Canis lupus familiaris: one gene and its partner. The protein of the gene in region 2 interacts with the protein of the main gene of each other region in a biochemical or structural test. Links are inferred from orthologs where the notes say so. Each region holds a gene or a part of one and is shown on either strand. Other genes may lie near its edges.

Region 1 (4,235 bases), on a different chromosome or scaffold from region 2:
GAGGGGGAGAGAAAGGAGGGGCAGGACCCGTGAAAAGGAGGGATGGAGACCCGAGGAGCAGGGGGGAGGAGAGAGAGCGAGACAGAGGGAGGAGACAGCACCGGGGAGAGCGTGCAGGGAAATGCAGGAGAGAGGAAAGGCAGAGATGGGGCAGGCACACGCGGGAGAGACACGGGGTTTGGGGGCCAGATGGAGGCAGCCTGGGAGGGGAGGCGAGGATGGAAGGTGTCAGCGTTAAAGAAAGGTGAAGCGACCACGGAAGAGGTGAGGCCGAGCTGTGGGTGGGGAGGGGCGTCATCTGGTTGGAGCTGCCACCCAGGCGTAGGGGGACCCACAGGTGCACCACTCAAGACAGAGTGTGCGAACAGGGGCACCCCACCCCACCAAATCTCCACGCCACGCGGGCCACCTGGGTCCCCGCGTGGGCGCCGGGGGGGCGGGCCCAGCGGCAGCCCCGCCCCGCGCAGGGGTGAAGAGGGCGGGAGGCGCCGCCGCCGCGAGGGCGGGGACGCGACCTGCCCCGTCTCGCCCCAGGCTCCGCGCGCGATCCCCGCCCCCCGGGCACGGGAAGGAAAGGGAAGGGAGGACGAGGCGGCCGGACGCTGGGGTTTCCCCGGCCTCCCGGAGAGGAACTGGGAATCTGGGGTCCAGGCTCTCCCCGTTCAGCCGTGCGGGGTCCTCCTCCCCCCGCCTTCCGGGAGGGCAGGCTCCACCCTCCGCGCGTGGCACCCACGTGGGGCTCCCTCACCCCGACCCAGTCGGTTTTCTCACCCCGATCTTGCAGAGTCGCACCCACCCACTTCTCCCCCGAGGGCTCGAGTCCTCACTCAGCCCACTTCCTCCCCTCCCGCGGCGTGGGGGGCTCGCTGCTCCCGGCACGGCGCTATTTATGTCTCCTTGCACCCCCTCCCCGCCCCCCCTTTCCCCTGCTTGTCTCCCTCTCTCTAAACCCCTTCCCACCGCCCAAGTGTCCTGGGGGCTCGCTCGGCTCACGTCCCTATGCCAAATACTCGGGGCACCTGGCGCGCATCCCGGGGGGCTCCGCTGCGCCCCCGCTGGGACCTCCCCCCACCCCACGACCTCGGGCCCCCTTCTTCCCCGCACTCAGCAGCCCCCTCGCCGCGTCTCTGTGGGCCCTCCCCAGCCCCGCGTGTTCCCCGCGCCCGCTGCGAGTGGGGCCGCTCTTCACTTCCCCGGCACCTCGGGGCTTCGCTTCACCTAGTTTTTCTGTCCTTGAATTTTCTCGCCTCGTGACCCCTGGGCCCTGGGTCAGCTTTCCCCTCCTGGCTCTCCTTTCCTTTCTCAAATGCTGGGGACTTCGCTTCTCCCGAAGCGGGCTCCCTCTCTGCAGCCCTCACCCCAGGACCCCCACCCTCTAGTGCCCGGTGGCGAGGGAAGCCCTTCTATCCTTCCACACCCCCCCAAACTGCTTCTCTCCCTCTAGGGGGCTGCCCCACGGGCCCGCGTGTTCTCACGGCCCTCTAGGAGCGGTCCACTAAGCCCCTATCTCCTCCTCTCCGGGCCAGATACCCGGGGGTTAGGGAGCTCAGTCCTGTCCTCTTTGAGACCCCCTCCCGCGTTCCCGGCAACCCCGGGGGTCCTCTTCCTCTAGCCGGTTTCCTCTGCCAGTAATTTCCTCCCCGTGACCCCTGCGCTGCGGCGCCCCCTGGGGGCTCCCCTCCAGGGTCCCCGGCCCCTCTGAGCTCACTGTTGGTGTTTTCCACCATTAGCACGCGGGTGACCTCCTTGGCGTAGTAGTCCGCCTCGGGCTCGGGCTCCGGCTCGGCGCTCTCCCCCGCCACCCGGTCGCGGGTGCTGTTGTAGAGGGCCAGCACGGCCTCGGGCAGCGGCCCGGGCGGCACCTCCCCCTGGCTCGGGGGGCTGGCGAGCCGCAGCTTGGACAGGATCTGGCCGCGGATGGCCTCGATGCGCTTCCGCTTCACCAGTTCCATGTCGATGGTCTTGCAGGTGGACAGTCCGGCGGCCGGCCGGCCAGGCGTCAGCACTAGTAGCCGCAGCAGCGGCAGCAGCAGCGGCAGCAGCCGCAGCCCGGAGGGCGGCATGGGGGAGGCGGCGCCCCCGGCACTGCCGAGAGCGCGAGCGGGGCTGGGGAGGGAAAAGGGAGGCCCCGCCCCTACAGGGGCTGGGGGGTCTCCCGAAGAAAGGTAGGAGGGTCGGGGTTGGGGGTGGGGTAGTTGAAGCCCTCAGCGAGAACGGAGCGGAGGTGGAGGGGAGGCTCTGATGGGCGGTTTCTCGGTATCCCAAGGAAAAAACCGAGATGGGCGAGATCTGGTACCAGAGGTGGGTGGTCCTGAGCAGGGGGGTTGAGGCAGGTCCGAGAGAGGTCCCGTCTCCCGGATCCCGGAGAAGGGTCCTTGGATGCGCGGGGGCTCAGGAGAGAGGCTGGGGGTGGGGGAGCGGCGTGCAGGGGGGTGCGCCCGAGGTCTGGGGTCAAGTCTTCGCGGGAGTCCGGGTTGGCGGCTCCTGAGGGCTGGTCCGGAATGGGGGCGCCGGGGGGGGCGCCGTGGAGGGGGCAGGGAGGGAGCAAGCGTCCGAGGCGGCGGTGGGGGCGGTCTGGGGTCCCCAAGTCCTGCCTCCTGGCGGGGCAGCGCCGCGCCAATCGGTCCCCGCGCCTCCGGCTCCCAGCGGCAGCGGAAAAGTCTCAAAACTTTTTTTCCTCTTCTCCCAACCAGCTCGTCCCTCCTCCCGCTCCTCCTCCCCCTCCTCCCCGCAGTGGCGGCGGCGGCGGCGGGGGCGGCGGCGGCTCGTCTCAGACTCTGGGGCCTCGGGCTGCTCCGCGGCGGCTCCTTCCTCCGCTCCCGGCCGAGGCCGGCCCGCGGGCGGCTCCGAGCCGGGGGGTGCCCCGGAGGGGGCGTCCCCCCTGCCCCCGGCCGGGGGCCTCGCTGTCTGGCGGATCCGCGGCGGGAGGAGGGGGTGGGACGGCCCGGGGCGCGAAGGGCGGCGGCGGCGGCGGCGGCGGCGGGGACCGGCTGGGGCGGCGGGGGGTTTTGAAGCCGCCCCGGCCCCACCCAGGAAGCGCGCGGGGCGGGGGCGGCCCCCAGGGGGAGGACATGGGGGGGCCGGGCCACCGTCCTCATCTCGCGTGGGCGGGCTCCGAGGGGGGTCCCTTAAGCCCCGGGGGGAGGGGGCGGGCACCCCGGCTCCGCCCCGCGAACGGGGTGCTGCCTCCTGGCGGCTGAGCGCAACCCTAGCGGGCCAGCGGGCGGCGTGTGCTCCGAGGGCTGCGCGGGGTCACGGAGAGAAGGACCTGGCGGGCGGGCCCCATCAGAGGTTGGGGACACCGGGCACGGGGGATCCGAGAGTGGGAAGGCTGGGAAGAGGGTCCGCCGGAAGACGGGGTCCCAGGGGGAGAGGGGCACAGAGGAGAGACCCCCCCCCCAAGGAGACAGGGTCCTAAGTGGGGGAACCCAGAGTGGGGAGGGGGACAGAGACTGAGGTAGAGGGTAGGGGAAGTGGGTGTGTCAGAGGTGGGGGCCTGAAGGAGGGTGTCAGTGGGAGGACAGGGCACAAGGCACCTGGCCGGTGACGGAAGTCAGGAGGGCACCCACACCTGTAAGAACCGCTCTCCTTTATTGAGCATTTGCAGGGCAAACCAGCCTCTTCTCACCTGACCCCCGCCACCCCGCACACTCACTGTCCCCATTTTACAGACAAGGAAACTGGATCTGAGGGGGTGGCCACCGGGCTGGAGGTGCTAGTGGGGACAGAAGCCACTGCCGGACTGGCTGGGGTCAGACCCGACAGTGTCCAGAGCCCCCGGCCCCCTCCCGGGCAGGCAGGGTCAGCACTCCACCCCGTAGCGGTCGAAGTGGCGCAGCAGCAGCCCCAGCTCCAGGTGGACCAGGCCTCCGGCCGCCGTGTGCAGCCGGTAGCGGTCGGCGCCGCTGTAGATGGCATCCCCGTGCAGCAGCTGAGGGCCGCCACCCACGAAGGCCCGAGCCAGCTGCTCCCGCCAGCTGCCCAGGGGCCGCCACGTGGGGCAGTCCAGCCGGTGGGTGCCCGGGCTGCTGGGCACGTGGCAAAAGCCGTAGCCCGCCAGCTGGCAGCGGCCAAAGCTGTCCTGCGACCACACCTGGAGATGGAGCCGGGGCCAGCCTGCAGGGTGGGAGGGAAGGAGGAAGGACGGGAGCGATGGAGGCCCCCGGCCCCCTCCCCACTGGGTTTCTGCCCCAGCCTTCTCTCTGGACTCCCATCCATGAGGCAGCCAAAGGGAT
Region 2 (4,530 bases):
TATGTTTTAAAACCCTCCTGAAACTGCTCTCAAGATTCCCAAAACACAGAGCAGATACTATCTTTCGTTTCCCCACATCTACTTTGAATCCTACACTGACAAGAATCATATTAAAGCTGCACATTTAAAGACTATACTTTCAGGGGTCATTTCTATAGTCAATCGGAGAAGGACAAACATTATATGGTCTCATTCATTTGGGGAATGTAAAAAATAGTGACAGGGCATAAAGGGGAAAGGAGAAAAAATGAGTGGGAAATATCAGAAAGGGAGACAGAAAATGAGAGACTCCTAACTCTGGGAAACGAACTAGGGGTGGTGGAAGGGGAGGAGGGCGGGGGGGTGGGGGTGACTGGGTGATGGGCACTGAGGTGGGCACTTGACGGGATGAGCACTGGGTGTTGTTCTATATGTTGGCAAATTGAACACCAATAAAAAATAAATTTATTTTAAAAAAGTTGCACATTTATAACTAGACATCAAGAATAATTTTTAGTCATCTGCCAATTGTAACACATGCAACGATACAACAAAAACAAAAAGCAAACAAAGACACACACACAAAAAAACAAACAACTTTGTCCTAACCTTAATGCATCTATCTATGTATCTTCTGGGAATTCTTGGCTAGATGCACTCTAGAGGGAAAAAAAAAAGTTTTTGGATTTTGTACCCTTTTGTTCTTAGTTTATATTTGTTGCTGAGGTGTGTGTAAGGCAGCGTATATACAGCATGTGGCTTCTCATTTAAAAAACCCTGCAAAGATTATTATTTACACTGCCCCTTTAAATTCAGTATCAGGTTTTCCCTGGGAGCGTGTTCCCATTCAGTTACTGCATTGCCTTTTAACGGACACCCTATTGTTTTGGCCCTGTTCCCTTGGACTGGATCTAAGGGAGTGGTTTTCTGTCTGTTTCACATTAAAATGCAATGTTTACGGTTTACCACAGTTTGCTAGCCTTGCATATTTAATATCTTACAATTTTAGACGAAAAATGAAGCAAAGTAATTGCAGATTTAATAAATAGCAATGAGAATTAATGCAGATGTTGCTTTTTGATCTTTTCTCCAGGACAGAAAATGCCTGCTTGTTTCACTAACCCAAAAAAAGGAAATTTTTTTCTAGCTCAGAGGAATATTATCATTTGTATGTGTTTACTCTTGTTAAAATGGTGCAAATTCTCTGCACAATTTTTTCTTGGTTAAAGCTGAACACAAGCAAGAAGTTTCGAGCTTCCATTACTTATTTTATATCACTTTGATTTGTGTGTGCGTGTGTGTGTGTGTGTGTGTGTGTGTGTGCCTTTTAACCCTGAATGTCCTGGAGAATAACATGTCCAGAAACTTCATACAAATTCAGCCATGAAATGATTTCTTTTAAATTAGTGTCATCATACTTGTAGACCCAGCATCTTAAAACAATTAATGGGGGCTATTGATATTAAAAATTTCTTAATCATTTCCTTTCTTCCTTAGTATATAAGAAAAATAAACAAAAAAGTAGCAGTTGCCCTTGCAGAAACCAAGAGGATTATTACTGAGGTAACATACTTTCTGAATTTCATTGAAATTATTTTAAGCCTTCTTAAAAAAATAGTATGACTCTTTCCTAGATGCTAATTGCTAAGTATAATGTCACTACTCCACTAAAGTTAGTCGCCACCGTTTATAAGAGTTTCATAAAAAATAGTAATTTCTGGCTCCCTAAACTACTTCAGCCCATTAAATTAACTCTATCATTCAGATTATTTGTAGGATGTGATTTATGCCTTTGGTATGATTTTCAATATCAAAATTTAACCCTCAGGAGATAAATGAAACTGTAACTGCAGAGCAAAATAAAATCCCCCAGCACTAGGTGAATGAAAAACTTCAATAATAATTGAGGTTTTAAGATAATTAATTTAAAATAGACATTGCAGATGACATTTATCCATATATAAGGACTGCTATAAGGCATTTGGTTCTTTTTTCCAGTCAAAATAGCAAGAGGAAAAGAAAAACCCACAGGAATTTATGTCACTGGGAGCCCACATAACCAGTGGTCATTGTGTTACCTTGTTTTAAAATTAGCAAGAAAAAGAACCTACACCCTACACCCTCCTTTTCTAGTGATGTACCTTACAATAAAATTTCATTTGCATTGAAAATACTGTCTGGGCTTTTTCCTTCTCTGTCAGGAATTATGTAGCTAACTGTGAGATTATCTTTAATAAGTAGCATAAGTATTTTCAATGTTTATTTTCACCTCTCGTGATAATTTCTATTCTTTCCTAGGTTGTAGAAATATACATTTATTTGACTTCTGCAGTTAATCACCAGAGTTCACATCTCTGAGGTTTTAAAAGTTCTGAAAATATGCAAGAATTCAAGAGGGAACTAAATCCTTATATATATAACCCAACTACAAATACTCTGCTGATCCAGAAAACTTCTCTACAAATACTTTCTAAAGAGGTAAAACATTTCATTAATACAAATACAAAATATATCAATATAGATACTCATGGTGTTAGGTTAGAGTATTTTTTTAATAAACATCTTTGCAAGAACAGAAAGAACTAAAACAATGCATTCAACCATTTTACCAAAAATTAAACTTCTGTCTTCAAGCAATACTTGTTTAAAATGCTGCATAAAGATTATCAAAAGTTTAGCACGATTTTCTTTTTTTTTTTTTTCTTTTCTGCTTCTCACCAAATAATTCCTTTTGCTCTCAACTTGATCGAAGTTTTATTAGTCTGTAGCAGAGTTCAGGACAATTATTGAAAACCATACCTTTTAATCCGGGGATTTGCCACAGGAGCCCTCAAAGCTGAGATGTAATTACACTAAATATTCAGCCCAAGCAAAAGAGTTTGCAGGTGTGGAAAGGAGGAGGGGGTAGGTGCTGCTCTGTGACTGTCACTAGGTTGAGAACCTCCTGCTTCTACTCCATAGCACAGTTAAAAAATAAGGTTTCCCTCAATGAACACAATCCGGCTGACACCCACATTAGATCATATGGTAATGATATGTCTCTTGTATGGCAGCCAGAAAGTTTATCGGCCTTTTTTCTCCCCATTTGCTTTATTCTTTTTGCATCTGCTTAAGACTCTAAACTGCTTATGTGGTATAGAGGGGCAACTTGATCTGAAATTTGTTTTATTGTGTTGATTCATTTCCCTAAAACACAGTAACTAAAGGGTTTGCTTCCCCACCCCCAGCCTGACTCCACTATCCACCCTTTCGAGTCTTGTTTATAAGGAACGTTTATACTTCCGAAATGACCGTTTTTCTTGCTTTCATGATGTGTATGTAAATCTGGCAAATGGAACTAAATTAATTTTGTAGATATTTTAAATGTGGTCTGCAGGAAAACACATGGGTAGATTTCTGTGAAAATACTCTTTCAGATGCTTACTTGCCTTGGGCTGTTTGTGCAAATCCAAGGACTCTGCTGTGGAGTTTTTCTATGTATTTTGAACAGATTTCTAAAGTGTCCTGGAAGAAAGTGATGGATTTATATGAAAAGAAAGTCACTTATTGCTATTATTATCATTTCATATTATTCATCATCTTTCTTGTTGTTTACCAGCCACTGAGTTTCTCTTTATTTTTCTAAATCAAACACACAGATACTAGAAATTGGTCACATTTTCATTTAGCCTGGGTGTGAAAATTTTGATTTTTCCCGGACAACACTTGTATATAGTCCAGAACTTTGAAAAGGCAACAGAGTCTGTGGCTCTTTTCAAATTTCAGTAAATATAGAAGAGAAAGTGTAAATACAAGAAAAGGTATTTATTTAGCCACTGGAAGGTTTTTTTGAGATTTTGTAATTCCCTTGCTGGATGCTGTTTAATTCTCTCCCTGTGTGTCTCTATGTTTTGACTTGTATCTTTATGCCCTGGCCCCCAGGCTGTTACCAGGTGGAAACTTGAAATCAACATCTGTGAAACATGAGAGCTAGCCCTCCCATCCTCCACCTTCCCTCTCCTTCCTCCCCCCACCCAAATGCACAATTCTACAGTAAATACTTTTGCCTTGATGAAACCTGAAGGAATTAAATTCTTGAGTGGGTATCTAAAGGAGGGGAGGGGTGCTGTCACATGACATTTTTCCCTATTTCCCAAGACCTGCCTCCCTAATTTTATCACATCCTACCCCCACGCCTCCTCTCTTTGACATTGAATAACCACATGCCCACTTTTTCGGATGGTTTAGAAAAAAGCCAGGTATTATTTTCCCTGGACGTTGGTGCAGGATCCATGATTCCTTTATGTGGAATTAATTATGTTTCCCCCTTGAACTCCTCTTGCATCCATTTCTTTCCTATGACATGCGATCGCTCCTCCTTCATGGTATAGATGTCTATGTACATGTCTCACCCCAAGGGATGAAGCACACCATTTTCATTTGTAGAGTCCCTGCTCCCAGCAGTCATGGTATTTAGTAAATTCTCAAGGACACACTTAATGAATGACCGCATAAAGGCAATCAGGTCATTGGCTATGGATTCCACGACAATTACCGTCTTGGCCAGCCCTG

What was found.
Region 1: the proteins of DCN (region 2) and TGFB1 form a complex in vitro, tested with the Homo sapiens proteins (3 studies listed by BioGRID). The link is inferred for Canis lupus familiaris from reciprocal best matches to the Homo sapiens genes DCN and TGFB1.

The regions. Positions count from the first base shown.
Region 1 is NC_049222.1:113,412,247-113,416,481, reverse strand, and holds the start of TGFB1 (transforming growth factor beta-1 proprotein), read right to left. Parts: upstream 2,956-4,235; 5' UTR 2,064-2,955; coding exon 1,709-2,063; intron 1-1,708. Other genes in the region: B9D2 (B9 domain-containing protein 2), read right to left, coding at 3,803-4,116. UniProt on the Homo sapiens protein: Transforming growth factor beta-1 proprotein: Precursor of the Latency-associated peptide (LAP) and Transforming growth factor beta-1 (TGF-beta-1) chains, which constitute the regulatory and active subunit of TGF-beta-1, respectively.
Region 2 is NC_049236.1:32,180,009-32,184,538, forward strand, and holds the start of DCN (decorin precursor), read right to left. Parts: upstream 2,933-4,530; 5' UTR 2,779-2,932; intron 1-2,778. UniProt on the Homo sapiens protein: May affect the rate of fibrils formation.